Linked DNA regions of Schizosaccharomyces pombe. The protein of the gene in region 1 interacts with the protein of each later gene in a pairwise test. Each region holds a gene or a part of one and is shown on either strand. Other genes may lie near its edges. The genes, in order: psm3 and mis4.

Region 1 (7,944 bases):
GCTTTGATAATCTTATGACTTTAAGTCAAAAAAAAAGAATAAATGGTAGTAAATAATGTGAAGAGAAAACGGAACCTTGAAAAAGTTTTGCAAATGGCAAGGAGGAGGAAAATATATTGTGGACAAACTATTAGTTTCTAATCCAACCTTTAATATTGAGACACAAAGTTTAAGCATTGCCTCATTGATCTGATGCCTGCATCAGAAAGCTCTTTTTAAGCATTAGAGGATCTATTAACAACGGTGAATCCTCCCATACGAATTGGCTCTTGATTTTTTGGAGGTAAAATAGGCGAAGTGGTGGGTTCAGAAACAGGTTCTTCATCTACTTCCTTCTGCCCTTTTTCTATCTCATCTATCTGATTTTTATCACTAACAGTGTCTTGTTCTTGATCTTTATCCTTTTGCTTTTCTTTAGCTTTCTCTTTCTCTAGTTTTGCTGAATTTTGCGCACTTCGTCGACGTCTTGCTTCTCTGGCCTTCTCACGCGCTGCAAGCAATCCTTCATGATAAGGTTTCTTCTCTTCTTCGGTCAAATTATTCCATGTATCTTCAAGAGTTTTCTTCAAAGCTTGTCCCTTCAAGGTAGAGCCTTCGGCCTTTAATTTTGGTTTTTGAATAGACGAAAAATGGTTGAATAACATTGTGTCTGTAATTTTGGCATTAGAAGTAGCTTTTTTAGCTCCAGATGATTTTGAGCTTTCTGTTTTAAGATTTGTAATAATAGGAGAAGGTATTGGATCAGTATTCGTAATTTTTTCATCTTTTGATTGAACAACTTGATTTTGCTGCTCAAAGTCTGCATCTGTGTCATTGACGGATGCATCTTTAGGCTGGGAATTATTTGATGATTTATGAGATATTTCCGACGTGTTGTTTAATGCTACGTTTGTATCAGATGTTTCTTCTGTAGATATCTTTAACTTCTTGGCAGACGGGTTTCCAGCGCCTTTCGTTGATATTTTGATTTTAATACCTTCGGGAGGAGGCTACATATGATTAGTACAAGTATTACAATAAATTCACTCTATAAAAACACTTACAGGAGGAGATGGCTCAGAGCGCTGTCCAAATTCGCGAGATTTTGCTTCACTTTGCAATTCCAACTGTTCCATTAAGATAGCTCTTTCTAATCGGCCACGCTTGACAGCTCTTCGAATAACCTCATATTTGCTTAATAACTCCTGATTTCCTTTTTGGATCTCCTGAATTCTAGCCTTTAAATCCTTGCACTTTTGGCGATATTTAATTTCTGAGTATTCATTAGTAAATGAAAAAATCAATCAAGCTTCAAAATATTCACCTTCCGATTTGGAAATAGATACATGGTATGGAGGGTTTTCCATGGATATAGATGCTCTGCCTTTGATCTTGTTCGCACAATGTAGTAAGTACTGTCGCGAATTAAGAGCACTGACTGGAGGTCTAAAATAGCGAATTTATACAAGTCTTAACGCTACGACATGCTTTCGATTTTTTGAATACAAATAGAAATCTGGAAAAAGTTATTAAAATGACTCTCCATTGGGATTAGAACTTTAAAAAAACTATATGTGAAAGTATCAACTCTGGTAGTAATACGCACTGATTGATTCAAGCGCAATTGCATCATGAATATAAAAATTATAAATTAAGTATGATAAAATTAAATAACAGAGATATTAATGAAAGAATGACTAATAGCAAAAAGATCGGTTTGTCCACGCAAAGAAATTAAAAAGAAAAATGCGAACTTAAATTAACAAACCATAACCATTTTATCCTTCAACGAATGCCATAGCCTCCTCCTTAGAAATCGACTCAACTGTTGAAACTTTGTGATTAAACATTACTCCGTAAAAATTGTCCGCAACTTTCACCATCTCAGGCCGAAAAGTAGTGCAAATAAATTGACTAGTTTTTGACATCTCTTTGACCATCGCTGCAATGGCCGAGCGATATTGTGCATCTAAATTAGCATCACATTCATCGAGTATATTAAAAGGCGCAGGATCACAGCGTTGGATAGCAAAAATTAAAGTTAAAGCACAAAGTGACTTCTGACCGCCACTCAATTGATTAATATTCAGTTGTTCATCATCCTTACTGTTAAAAGAAACTCTTATGCTGATACCTGTATAATTGTCGATCGAGCTTTTCTGGGATGGCGTATCAATGTCCATGGAGATGTCTTGTTCGATGCTTTGACTCAATTCACTTCTTCTATTCATAACCAATTCACCTCTACCTGCCGGAACAAGTTTAACGAATATTTCAGAAAAGCTTTTAGCAACTTGTTTAAAGGTACGCTCAATTGCTTCATCTTTTCTTTGGTCAAGTACTGTCGTAAGCTCACTAATTGACTCCTGAGAACGACGCAACTCTTCTCTCCTAGCCAACAATGAATCGCGTTGTTTAGTAAAATTATTAAATTGCTCATATGCTTTCTTATTAACGCTTCCATAATCTTTAAGGGCTTCGTTGATTTTATGAAGTTTCTTCACAATAGCATTTGAGCTAGTTGAAACATATTTAATAAATGCTTCTTCCGGCAAAACCCCCAATGATTTAATTTTCTCGTTACATTCTTTTTTCCGTGCGAGAAGCAAACTTCTCTTTGCTGCGTTTCTTTCGTTAATTTTTGCATCTTGTTCAATTCGGGTAGCCACTTCGTGCTGCAATTCTTCTAGCGATTCCAATTCATTTCGTTTATCGCTTATTTCAGAATTGATTCTTTGCATTTGTTCCTCCAACCCAGAAGATGAAGATTTAATAATTTGCAATTTGTTTTCATACTTAAGTAGAGATCTCTTTACGCTGTTCAATTCTGATTCGTCTATTCTGTTATCAGAACCAATTTCAGCTTTCAATGGATTCCTTCTTAAATATAAGTTTGTATTTAATTCATATTCAAGAGCCGTCTTTCTTGCTTCTATATGTGCTCGTTCTTTAATGATGGCATCAAACTCATGAGAGAGATTTTCAATTTGACCACTCAAAGACTTTAGTGCTTCCACATCTTTGGGATCAAGTTCATCCATTTCTGAACTTAATTCAGATTTCAAGTCATTAGCTTGTTGTTCAAGTGTATGTAGTTCCAAAACAACAAGCTCAAGCATACGACTTTTATGATGCATTGATTCTTGAAGATCTGTTGTTTCTCCAGTAATAGTTACGAGTTCATCTTTAAGAGGAATATGATCTCTTTCAAATTGCTTTAAACTTAGTTGAGCCTTTTGCAAATCATCTAAGCATGCAGTAATTTTTTGGTCAAAAGATTCAATTTCGGAACGACATTTCTCCAAACTTTCTTGTAAATCCGAGAATTTGATCTGGTATGTTTTAACGTTTTTGATAGCATCCAGCCTGGAATTTCTATAATCACGATACCCGGCAGTTAATGCACCTTTTTTGTCAGATCGATCACCACTTAAAGTAATACCGTTTAATTGATGAGATCGAGCATACTGGGAGGCGGTCTCAATCGATGGACAAACAATGGTTTTCGAAAAAACTTGTTTAATCGCAGCATCAAACTTGGGATCGAACTCTAAATATTGAATTAAAGGTAAAGCATCACTGGCATCAGGATAAGTAACCGCCTTTGGACGAAGCTTGTTCAAAGGCATGAACGTAACTCTACCGGCATTTTCTTTATATATAACGTCAAGAATTTGAGTTGCGGTTTCATCGTTATCTACCACGATATGAAATAGACTGTTCCCAGCAGTAGCCTCAACAGCGACCTTGAAACGGTTATCAACCTTGAAAAGCTCACAAAGTGGACCATAGTAACCTTCGAGTTTCAGACGTTCAGCAATGTCTTTGACAGCTCTAATACCATTACTTGTATTCCGATCCATTGTAGTCCCCAAAGCCTTCTCAGAACGAGAAAGATCGTCCTTAACATTTTCGATAGACGACTTAAGTTTGGCTTCTTCTCTCCACAGAGATTTCCTTTTGTCCGTCAAATTTTCTTTCCTTTCATTAATTGAAGTAATGTTAGCAAGTAGTTGCGACATTCGATCACCTTGAGATTCAAGGGAAATTTCAATTTCCTTTTTACGAGATAATTTTGCTTTGAGTTCATTTTCCATTTCGTCATACTCAGTCTTCAAGTAATCACTGTTCTCCTTTGTAGAATTAATGTTACGGTTGATCTGTAAGAGCTGATTTCTGATCCATTCATCACGTTCTTTTTTGGTAGTGAATTGAGAAGTCCTCGATTGCTTGTCCAAAAGTGATTGCTTCTGATTTTTGAGCAGCATGATTCTTTTATTAAGATCATCAGCTTCAGATACTATAGCGTTATACTTTGGAAGAATTTCTGAAAGCTCATTTTCTTTCTCAGAGATTTTTGACTCTAATTCAGAAAGTATGTTGAGCTTTGAGCTCTCATCTTTCTTCGAAAATTCAATTTGACGTGATAATTGAGAAGACTGTAATTCCAATGCGACTTTACTTTTCATAATATTGGTATAATCCTCATCGTTTTGCTGTTTTTCAACACGTAAAAGCTCAAGCGAGTGGTTGAGCTCTGTAATTTCAGCCTTAATTCGTTCAATGCGTTCCTCTCTTTGAATGAAAGCACCCGAATCATCATCATTACGCTCAAGTGCAGCTATCCGGTCTTGTTCTAAGGCATCCAATACGGAGTTAATCTCATCATGCTCGCGAGAATAAATAGCATATTCCAAGCATCTTCTTTCGTTGTCTTTTTTGTGATAAACTGCAAGATCGTTTTTCTCCTCTTCTAACTCACGCAACCGTTCTTCAATGTATTGCAAAAGTTCATCAATTTTCTCCGATTTTTGAATTGTCTCGTCCATAATTTTATTGGATTCAGCTCTTCTGTTCTCATAAATTTGAGTACCTGCAACCTCTTTTAAAAGTTCTAAACGCTCTGAATCCTTTGCATTGGTTAGGGATGTGACCCTTCCTTGAGGAACAATGTAGTAAGGATTGGATCTTGAAAACCCAGCAGACTCGAGAAGATTAATAACCTCTGTCTTGCTTACAGTTTTCTTATCCAAAGAGTATTCGTCTTTTTTCAATCCAATTGTACGACGCAAGACAACTTCGCTTTTACCGGTGGGAAATCGATTATCAGCATTAGCGAACGTAACTTCAACGTATGCGCTCATGACAGTTGCACCAGGGCCTTCATGCAGCAAAGCTTGTCTTTCTTCACGGCTTAAATGTGTATACGCATCACTTAATACGAATCGAATTGCAGCAAAAAAATTGCTTTTACCAGATCCATTTCGTCCCACAATTACATTGTGGTGAGGGCTTAAAGGCTCTATTACAGTATAATCTTTATAAGATTTAAACCCTTGAATAACAATCTTAATAAATCAGTTAACTGGGGTTCTATAATGCTTTACTTACTTTTGTGATATACATAGATTTGTGGTTGGTTTGGGTTAAAGTATTTACGCGTCGCGTGTCTTCTTTATGGCGTGTAAGTATCAATCTTTGTGGTAACAGAGTTCTAAGAATCTACAACATAATAATTCATTCATACTAACCAAGATGAGAAATTCTTTGAGTTGTTGATGTTGATTTTGTTATGTTTTTTCTATATGAAACTGTATTAACTGAAGATCGTTTGCTTTTCTCTTTACTGCCGCATCAATTTCCAAATATAATATTTCTTTATTAAACTACTGGGAATGCACAATCAAATTGGTAGAAAGCGCGCTAGCTTAATTGAGTATGTGATTTTTTAGATGCCAAGTATGCATTAGTGTTAAATAAGCAAGCTGCTCTTGAGCGTCAGCGTTTCAGTAATGAATTTAAAAAAATGCATATATGAGCTTATGTATTGTTTCTTTTCTATCTGACTTTTTATTGTCAAGCTTTAATGAGGAAAGCCGCTCACACTAACATTAAATGTCTTTTGGAAATGTAATATATATTTTATTGATCGAAGAATGGAAAAAATATAATCCACTAAATTAAAAAAAAAATCATTGGTTTGCAAAAATCATCTTGTAACTTATGGTAATCATAATTTGCTAACTTCTTACATTTTTATATACCAGTTTTATTTACAACAAAAAGTTTTTACTACCACCTACAAAATACAAAAACTTGGATTTGTATCCAGTTCTTTGTCAAATTTTTAAATAAATTATTCTTTTATTGATTTATTTAAAGTTTAAGATGGTTGAGGAGTTAAAAAACGATGCACAGACAAATGAAGAAGAATCAGAATATAGCGACTTTAGTGATGGCTCTGACAATGATTACTTTAGGGAAGACGATATAGACTGGAATCAAGCTTCTTCAAGTAAGTTCATATACTGAATAGCCAAAAGCACTTTGCATGAATTTTTGTTACCATTTTTCATGATCATTAATAACATTTTTACTAGATTATTCTGCTAGACAGGAAAATTTTGGGAATAATTCTTCTAAGATCAATTCAGTTAATGATCACGTTTCTACGCTTAGTCGTTATGTGAATAATATAAAATTAAATGACAGGTTTGAGGCAGAGGGTAAGTGTAATATAGTTTAACTGCTCATAGGTTTTAGAACTCGAGGTCTTTTGATCCTTCACACTTTTACATTTTCATGTTTAATAGTACTGACAAATAAAGACAAGTCATCTATCAAGGATAAAAGTGACCGCGCTACATCTGAACAAGTGCTGGATCCCCGTACTCGAATGATTTTATTAAAATTAATAAATAATGGAACTATATCAGAAATTAATGGTTGTATAAGCACGGGAAAGGAAGCAAATGTGTATCATGCAACAAACGAGGATGGTAAACATTTTGCTATAAAAATTTATAAGACTTCAATCTTAGTATTTAAGGATCGTGACCGCTATGTTTCTGGAGAATTTCGTTTTCGTCATGGGTATAACAAGCGCAATCCCCGAAAAATGGTACGCTTATGGGCTGAAAAAGAAATAAGAAACTTGAAGCGTGTGGCTGCTGCTGGTATTCCTTGCCCAGAGCCAATCTTATTGAAGCAGCACGTTTTGCTTATGTCGTTTCTGGGGGACAAGAAAGGATGGGCATACCCCAAGTTAAAGGATATAGATATGACGCCTGGTGAGGCTACTAAATTATATCAGCTTGTAGCACGGAATATGCGTATTTTGTTTCATGTTTGTCATCTCGTGCATGCTGACTTGTCAGAATATAATTTACTTTATCATAAAGGTAAAGTTTATTTTATTGATGTATCACAATCGGTTGAACATGACCACCCGCAGAGCATCGATTTTTTAAGAATGGATATTTTAAACATTTCTACATTCTTTAGGCGTTTGAATGCTGGTTGCTTATCTTTACCTCAATTATTTAAATTCATTACTGAAGAAGGAAGTTGTGAAAAGGAAGCCATGAAAACCCGGTTAAATGCAATTTATGAGGAAGAACCTACTACAGAAGAATACGAAGAGGAATTCTTAAAAACTTATGTTCCTCGGACTTTAGATGAGGTATACGACATTGATCGAGATACTGAAATCGTAAACGCCGGAGGTGTTAATAGCCTTGTATATAAGCACTTATTAAATACAGACTTTCAAAAATTGGATTTAAATGACACTACAAAAAATCAAAACGATCAAATCCTCCCAAATGAGACTTCGGAGAGCGATGATGATGCAAATTCTATAAGTAGTATGGAAAATGAAGAAGAACGGACTTCGGATTCAAAATCATCTGCAAAACAAGGTAAAGGAAACGGACGTGCAAAGGAGACACCGGAGGAGAAGAGGGCACGGAAAAAAAAAACCAAAGAAGATAAGGCTGAGAAAAGAAAATCCAAGATTCCGAAGTATGAGAAGAAGCGCAAACTAAAACAATCTGGAAGAAAAAAGTAATCAGGGGAAAAAATTACGGTTATTTTATATAATTATCTTTATTGGAAAAGTCTATACAATACTCATAAACTAGTAGCATAACTAAAATCATTATACGTTTATAGACTTTAAAAATC
Region 2 (8,982 bases), 830 kb from region 1:
CCTTCGGAATAGTAATTTGAATGAAGTGCTCGGTATGATTAGAAATTCATAACCTTTCAACGGATTTAAACTAAATCTCTTTACGACTTTGCATTACAAACTATTCACAACAATTTACTCAATGTTTTAATAACCATAAACGTATAGTATCACTTTTGATACTAAAAAAGCAGAATATATTGTTTAAGCGCTTTGTAAGCAAATAATAGTGAAAATCATAACATTTGTTAGTCAAACCGTCTGCTTTTACTGAAAAAGGGTGAAGTGAAATAGTATGAACATATTGAATCTATGATAATTGTCATGTCGTATTCGGTCGAGTTTTTGACTTCTAGAAATGGATAAATTAATATATTTAAATATTGATTTCGCGAATTCCATCTTTATCAACCACTTTACAAATGAAACCTTTAAAGTCAATAGGCATACGCTTTTTAAGTTCATCAAAACATAATTTCATAATTCGCACGGCTTCATCAATGGTGAGGTCTGGTTTGTAATATCGATCAAAGATAGACAAACAATAAAAAGAACTGTATCCTTGGCAGGCATAAGGTACACGAACACAAGTGGCTAAATAATCTAGCCAAAAAAGCTCAGGCTTTCCTAAATTCGTTTCATAACCAGCTAATAAAATATTGACTTGATATGGTTTTCTCGAACGAAGTGAAGTAGCAAGTTGCTTTCTCGTAAAGGAAGCGGTAGCTTCAGGGCTTAAATTTAAATTATGTCTTAAAGTGTAAAGAGATATATTTGCTGCAATGTATTCAGCAAAATTAGTAGTATCGCCAGCTTCACCACAGTATAACATAAGATTATGCGAATTTAAAATCTGACTTTTGTCATCGTCAGGTTTCAAAACAGTAATTCCACGAACTGCTGATGATGATGAAGCAGTGAGTACAAAATCCTGACCCTGAACTGCCAGTAGTGATTCCATGGCTTTTGATGGTGGTTTGGTAAAGGTAAAGTGTTGTGCTGAGCTGAGACGTTTAGTACGCTAACGAGATGCCAATGGAAAACTATAGGCGAAATCATTCACTCAATCGTTTAAATGTCTGTGTTTTAGAAATAGCTTTTTTTCTTTTTTTTTTAAAGGTTACCGCCGTTGTAGTGTAATCGTAGTAGCACGTTTATCTCTTCGTGCTTACTCATGTACTTTGAAAATTCAATACTCTGACAACATATAAATATCCTGATTTGAATATTACATTCAAAAAATAAAAATTTGGGACGATACAAGTTCCTTTACTATTCTAAAAATGATTGTTTCTTATTATTAATAGTTAAAGAACTAGCAGTGTCATTTAACAGTTATGTCTTAACATCTAATTAAAAGGATCTCAAGCTGTTTACTTGTTACTTATTTAAACAATAAATGAAAAGAATGTCTTATTGGTATTAAATAATGCATAAATGAAATTTGGAGCGAGTTGTATTCATGGTTCAGAACTTTTAAATGTTGCTGCCTATTATTGTGAGTAAAAATCAAATTGGATAACCTGTTTTTTCATAAAAAAATATTGATAACCCATATAAAATAAATATTTTTGAAATATACTGCTTGAGAGCTTTTTGATTTTTTTTTTAATCCCTTTTTTCATTTAGACAACTGTAAGCTGTTCCCCTTCAACTTGATCCTCGCCAGAAAGGATATTTTCTTCTTCAAACAATTTTATCACCTAAAACAGTCAGCAATTTGGTTAAGGAACTTTAACTTACCAACTTAGAAACAATATCTGGCTTAGCATCAGAAGTAATTAAATCCACATAACCTCTATTCAAAAGAGTTAGAGGCTTTTTCTCACGTATAGGTCGAGATGAGTCTGAAATTGAAAATGCGTATTTTATATATCTCTTAAGATATATCAAATTGCACAAGTTGATACCTGCAAGGATTTTAAAACGTTCATGATCTAGTTTTTTCATCCACCCAGTAATAGTAGGGCCTATCGTCGCGAGCACCGAATCAACTGTTGAAATGATCATTAACGGTTCCTCTATTGACACGTATGGAATTCCTGCCAGACATACACAGCAAAAGCTTACAAATGAAACTTTTTCTTCTGTAAAGCTGGGTAAATCAATCCCGTCGAGTTTAAGAGGTTTTAATATTTGCATTATTAATTTTTTCCTAGATTTTGAACTTTTATCAGCGGAGACAATGGTATAGGCACTTTGGAACGGCGAAAATTCGCCTAACTTAAATGTTTGATATTCCTCCGTTTTTTGAAGGGAAAATATTAAATCTGCAGATTGAGCATATAAGCCATCTATCAAAGATTCATGTCTTCGGTGCAATTCAGTGTGAAGCAAAATTGCTACTTCTCTGGTTTCTTTAATTGCATTGGATTCGAGTGCTATTATGGTTGAGAAACACTAATTTAATTAGTAATCAAAAAGTAAAAAGTGGCATACCATGCGTGGGTTTACTAGTCCTTGATGAATAATACATTTGAGAATTTCAATTCCGAGCATTGAATACCTTAAATTTTTTGAAAAGCAAGAGTCAAGAATACAGGGAAGGAAATGCTGCATTAAAGATGCACTGACTCTGCATTAAATTAGTGATAGTTTGTTTATAAAATACATACCCTTCAATCCATTGTTTATCCTTAGTTCCTTTAAGCATATCTCGATCAACTGATTTGTTGGACTGAACGTTTTGCTTACCCTTTAAACTTAGCTTTTGATCTGCTTCAAAGATAAGATCCTCATCCGCGGCCAAAAGCTCAAGAAAAGATTTAAACAAAACAGATACTTCGTTAACATTATTTTCCGCAATTATCATATCCAAAGTTGATAACATAAGAGGAGATATAAACAAAGATGTTTCTCTTAAACATATTCTGCTCATGTTATCAATTATGTGAATTCTCAGCTGACCTTTCGCATCTTTTAGAAGTTTCTGAAAATAACCTAATAGTATAACGTAAGCATCATCACACTCAGGACTAATAAAATCAAGTGAATGTTTCCAATCATCATTTATTCTATTGAGATCCCCATATCTAGAAAAAAGCCCAATGAGGTCTATTAAGCGAACCATTTTTTGAAAATTGTTTTCTGAGTGTCGTGCCTCCTCTAAAGATTTAAGACACGAAACCACAATTTTCTTTAACCTTTCATAATCATTAAGTCTTGTAAATAGGCTGCAAAGACAAGGAACTATTTCCATTAACGTTGCAGTACCGGCTTTAGTAAGCCTTTGCAGTAACACAGATTCAAGGCTCCGTAGGAAGCTTTCAGAAATTTCTTTTTGAAATGGTAAAACCTGTCTAAAAATAGCTACTACATAGTAAAGAAAACGTTGCTCTTCAATAGTTGAAGCAGATCGTAAATAGGGTTTTAAGAGGTGTAGATAAGACAAGTCAAAGAGGAAGGGAAAAGCGCGTGAAAAAACAAACAATGTACTCATTATTTCGTATAAAATTCCCTTTGTTGATTCATCAACTTGATCTTCGGTTACAACTTCTATTAGCTGATTGAAAAGACAAGAGAGAAGAAGTCGAATTTGAGTGTGTAGTGTACTCAAATTGATCTCTTCCTTAGAAGTCAACATGGTTTTCAGAGACGTTACCAACAGGACGTGTCTTTCGGTTGATGGTTCAGCACATAGTTTTAAAATAGGAAAATACTGAACTCTTAACTTCTGCTTTTCTAAGAAAGTTAATTGCTCATAGCCTTTTTGACAATCTAATTCATTGCTTGCGGGTGAAAACCAAAGTTTTTCTAAAACCTCAAGGCTTAATTCACTGATTGTTTCCTCTTCATCATTACTCCGGGTTAAAAGTTTTGAAGCTATGTCAACACGGATATTTAAATCTTCGGTAGCTTCATAAACCTCACATAGTTGCTTTATAGCGCGTTTACGAACGATTGTTGAAGGATCCGAAATTCCAGAAATTATACAACCATATATTTGAGGAATTGTCTCCCGATATGCCATGATATATGTGCCAAGTAAGTCTAACACAGTATCTCGAACTATCGCAGACTGATCATTCGATTTTGATATTATCTGAGCCAAAACTTCTGGATGTGTTCTTAATATAGAAGGTATAGTTTTCATTTGATTGATGATTCGAAGGCATTTAGTTCGAAGACTAGCTTGAGGACTATCGAGAAAGCCTATAATGAGCGAGACAAAAAACTTTAAATTTAAAAACAAAGAAGAATGATAAAGGGATATAATGAAAATATCTTCGTCATTTTCATCTGCTTTAAATGGTGAAGGACCTTGAAACCCCTCTTGAGACTTTTGCATATTCTTATCGATACAATTATCAATAATTTTTAAAGCTTCGGAGTCATTGCATACTTTTCTAAGCTGTAAGAGAAATGAAAACCATTTATTGTAGTTATAAGGGAGTATGTTCTGTAAGTTAGTATATAATAAACAAGCAATTAACTTTCACTTACTTCCAGAGATATGTCACCTTTGCATAAAAAGTAAAAATGGTTAAAGCTAACTTGAGAAAGTTCATTTAATCTAGTAATTGAGGGAATGAACGATATTATATCATTGAAATTCGTAGGAGCTGGGATATTGTGCTTCTCGAAAAGGGAAAGATCAAACAATGCCAAAACCTTGTTAACGATGAGACTTATAAGATCCAGCGCAGCATTCTTTGAAGAAACTGCTTGTTTGTCGTTAGTCACAGTCATAACTAAATTCATTGCAAATTGCCGAATAATTGTTTCGGTTCCGCACCATTCAGGCAAAGAAAGCATGTTTAATAAATCTTCTAAAAGGATTTTGGTTAAAATTGCAAATGAGTTGTCACTCTCCGTTTTATTCTGTTTTAAAGAACGACTAAGCAAATAAGCAACAATATGATTAGCTATCCGGTATTCTTCATGTCGAGACTTGGATAGTATTGATTCGACCTACACGTTAGAAATTGATTTTTATTTAGTGTTCATTACATACTGTTTTCAGATGTTCTGTTAAGTTACCTGAGTGTAAAGCTTCAGTGGATTTGCTCTCCGATTGTACAATTTCTGAGTCGAATAAGTTTTGAATGGAGCATGACTGAATTAAACGTACAAATAGGGTTGAATAGTATTGTATGGATTTACCGTTAGAGAGTCTATAGGTCCTTGAGACCGAACGAGCAGTGGGCAAGTGAGAAAAATTTGTAAGTGATTCTTCAATGATAAAATCTCGCTGATAAGGATAAAGACGAAATAAATATTGTAACGTTTGAAATAAAGGAGCTTTAAGAAAATCGAAGGATGAGCTGTTACAGTTAGGAAGTTTAGTTTTGAAGGAATTGTCGAGTGTAGAGACTTTGGGAAATAAATATACAATGCGTATGACCACAGCTTCCGACAAGGGAATTTCATGGGCAACTTTAGATAAGATGTTTAATACATTTGCGACTTTTTGTAACAAAACTGATAGATGTTGAATTTCAGAAGTCCTAGCATCGGAAGTTTTTGATTGAACGATGTTATCAATCGCTTCAGGAACTGTGTACTCAAATATGGAATGTAAGATATTAAGTAAATGAAGAATTGATTCTTCATTTTGAAGCTTTTTAAAGGAGGGGACCAGAAATATTATAAAAAGAACAAGAGCAGTGGTCTTTAAAATAAAGTCTAAATTCGGAAATTGTGTGAGGCTGTCATGAAGATTAATTATACTGTAACAAGCGACAGGAAGCTCTTTTAACTCTTTCTCAAGGATTTGTTTTACAAGTATTATACTCCCTTCTTCCAGCAATTTGTCACAAGCTCCCAAACGACTAAGCTTGGTTAATGCCATATATAGCTTTTCAATTGCGTGCGATGAAATGTGTTTTCCATCATCGTCTTCTCGTTTAATAAAGAGAGAATTCGATGAAAAATCTTCCGAATTCTCAGCTTCTATAACTTGAGAAATTAGTAATCTGGTATCTTGCAACTGCTTTAACAAAACGTCCTGCAACCGCTGGATCTTTGAGGGAGATTCACGAGGCGAATAAGTGTCTTCCATAAGTCGCTTTTTTGGGGTAGTAATATCATCTTTAGATTTTTTAGGGCTACATAATTGAACAGCGTTAAATACGCGAGAACATGATGGACTTCGAGGACTTGAAGACGGAGTTAAGAAGCCATTGTCGGAAGATGAACGGTTTGTATTTATAGAAGAAGCATCAGGTTTCTCCTTGGGTTCACACATCAACATACTTGGCTGAATCAGAGATTTTGTAAAATCATTTAATTCACTTAACGAGTCACTGTTACACACCTTTTGGTCTAGGACCGGACTGGCATTCACCCTCCTTTATATTTGTCAGATAAAAAACCTCAAAAAATTTAACTTACATTGCGGGCATTGCAGGTTCCGTTATCATAGCGCTAAGAGCATTTTTATAAAAATTAAAGGTTTCAGAATCGTTAACGAATGTTGCGCCAGGATTTAGCATATCCACATATCTTTGCATAATACTTGATTCTTCGGAGTTAAGTTGCAATGGCTCATTTTGAAATTTAGAAGATGGATATAATACGTTTTGTAAACCTATGTAAATTAATAGACGCGTTCAAACTGTATGCATACCATTTTCCAATGGGATTGATGATGCTAATGGTGTGTATTGAAGCCCTTTAATAATTCGATTAGAGGAGTTAACTTTTTTAAAGGTTTCAGGTGTCATCTCGAAAAGCATCAAAACATTGCAAAGCTAAGAAAGGGAAGTATTTATCATTAAATTCATTCATCTAAAAACAAAGAAACGTCGGTATATATAAAGCGTAAACAAGTTTAAGGCAATAGACCGAAACGGGAAAATGCAATTAAGATGTAAGCTACGCAGTTTGGTATCTGATTTAAGGATACGTAGAACTGCGGTGAGTTTTCCTTGTGATCTATTATATTACAATACACAGGTTGTATAAGTAGCAACTGAGTATAGGTATTGTATTAACTGGGTTATAATGTTACCTATCACTAATATAGCTCATAACTGAACTGAGGAACGAGTTCAGCAGTAGCTCTATTTATAGTATTCAGATAATATAGATCTTAATAGATTATCATTAAGATTAATTTCCATATCGTATCATAAATGGTACGATATATAATTAGAACATGTGACATATAGTGATACGCAACGTAGTGTATCATAGCGTAATGTAGTATTGCTGACATAAGAAACGTTCGTACATTTCGGATATTGGTGATTACGTATTTCTACAGTGGAACACTATTTAGAATCGGTCTCTTGGTTAGGAAAACGTGCCAAGGTCATTAAATATTTGGTTTTCTCCTAATAATTTGCGGTCTTGTTTTAAAACATACTAAATATTTTTGTTGCTTTAATCTAAGTTTTATCTATTACTATTCAAACAGAAGACAATGTCTTCATGTTATACTGTGATAGAACAGCATTGAGAAATTCTTTTTTCGGCTTTATAAGGTAACACTTCAATTATATTAATTCTTATATTTTTAATGACTGTGCTGAGATTTCATATTTTATTAAAAAATGCCCACATATCGCTTTAATTATCTACGTTTCAACAAACTATGTGTTTCCTTTTTTCGAAGCAAATTTGACAAACGACCTTTCGCTTCTCAAAAGTTTCCTGAAAATTTAGTTCCTGATAATTCAAGTAATGACGCTAATTCGCAACCAGAGGAAGTCTCAAGCAAAAAACCATGGTATGTGGATGAAAAACATAATCTATTTCCTAAAAAAGCGCATTTCGATGCGGTTGCGCTGCCACCTATTCCAAAAGGTGCTCCAAACTTTTTAGCTGATGTGTTAAACCTTCTTAAAAAGAAGTATTATGCCACTGATCTCAGTTTTGTTAACTCACCCGCCGATTCTTTTTGGTGTGATTCAGATCTTATTTTACTAGCTTCTTGCAACTGTGGATCTGAAGTTGTATCCGCTACTAATGGCTTACTTCGCCTTTTAAAACAAAAAAACGTTGGACCGGTGAACGTAGATGGCCTTACTAGTGCATCTCGGAGAAAAATTTTAGAACGGAGAATGAGGAAACGTTCCAATTTGTCAAACCGACAATTAAACACGTCTGAAAATAATTGGACATGTCTCAGTATCGAAAACTTCGGCATAAGCATTCATGTAATTACAAAAAATTTTAGGGAATACTATAAACTGGACAATATTGAACATGTTAAGGATGAAACTTTGTATTCTGATCTCGAACATGGCAAACAATCTAGGGTCTCACTCACTAGTAAATCTACACCTGATAATTCTTTACCTCCAAATTTTATTAATAACCACTCGAACGTATTTCGGAGAAGTTTCCATACTTGTAACTTTTCTTTAAAAAGTGCCGCATCCCTTTATTGCGATACCCAGGATATCTTGTTAAACGTCAATTCACAAAATCTGACGAGTACTTTGGAAAAATATAAGAAAATGCATCTCCAAAATCCTAATAATTTTTCTTTGGATTTTACTCTTTCAATTTTTGAGCGACTTCGAAAAGATTCTTCTTTGCAACTGACTACAAAGGATATCAATACGCTTTTCAGTACTATAGCTTTGTCTCCAACAAAGTTGAGTATGGCTTCTAAACACTCTAAAAATTTGGTTAGTGAGCGGATGTTGTATCTTTCACTAATGTATAAATCTTTAGTCGATCTAAAAACCATCGATTCATTTTCACTAAAACTACTTTTTTTAAAATTTATGATATGCTCTTGTATGGTTAAAGGGGAGTCAAACTTCTTTCTCGACAACCGCATATTTCTTTTGGAAAGGATTATGAACCGTTATGGAATACCCATGACTATTGACACGTTTCTACTCATGCAATTTATATTGGCAAAAAGCAATCGTTGGAGCGAAGTTTGGCGTCGTTGGGATAATCTTAGAAAGGCTGGTGTTGTTTTCAATGAACGTTTATACAATCACGTATACCTTTTGGCCTTCGAAAGTAAAAATGAGCGTGTCATAAATTATGTACTTACCAACATTTTTGAGGATATGGTTAGCCAGTCACCCCCCATTCCAG

Evidence for each region.
Region 2: the proteins of psm3 (region 1) and mis4 interact in binary tests that used the Schizosaccharomyces pombe proteins (3 or more experiments, as listed by UniProt).

What each region holds. Positions count from the first base shown.
Region 1 is NC_003424.3:1,219,452-1,227,395, forward strand, and holds psm3 (mitotic/meiotic cohesin complex ATPase subunit Psm3/Smc3), read right to left. Parts: upstream 5,408-7,944; 5' UTR 5,386-5,407; coding exon 5,371-5,385; exon of another isoform or gene 5,328-5,370; coding exon 1,758-5,327; 3' UTR 1,518-1,757; downstream 1-1,517. Other genes in the region: Ino80 complex HMG box subunit Nht1, read right to left, coding at 216-989, 1,044-1,252, 1,304-1,346; rio1 (RIO family protein kinase), read left to right, coding at 6,148-6,274, 6,360-6,485, 6,588-7,828.
Region 2 is NC_003424.3:390,234-399,215, forward strand, and holds mis4 (adherin Mis4), read right to left. Parts: upstream 6,707-8,982; 5' UTR 6,657-6,706; coding exon 6,548-6,656; exon of another isoform or gene 6,509-6,547; coding exon 6,313-6,508; intron 6,270-6,312; coding exon 4,934-6,269; intron 4,891-4,933; coding exon 4,423-4,890; intron 4,379-4,422; coding exon 2,595-4,378; exon of another isoform or gene 2,555-2,594; coding exon 2,419-2,554; exon of another isoform or gene 2,380-2,418; coding exon 1,723-2,379; exon of another isoform or gene 1,683-1,722; coding exon 1,605-1,682; 3' UTR 1,395-1,604; downstream 1-1,394. Other genes in the region: mrp11 (mitochondrial 54S ribosomal protein uL10m), read left to right, coding at 1-12; pre1 (proteasome core particle subunit beta 4), read right to left, coding at 356-940; ATP synthase complex assembly protein atp25, read left to right, coding at 7,476-8,982. UniProt on the Schizosaccharomyces pombe protein: Plays a structural role in chromatin. Chromatid cohesion molecule required for equal sister chromatid separation in anaphase. May form a stable link between chromatids in S phase that is split rather than removed in anaphase.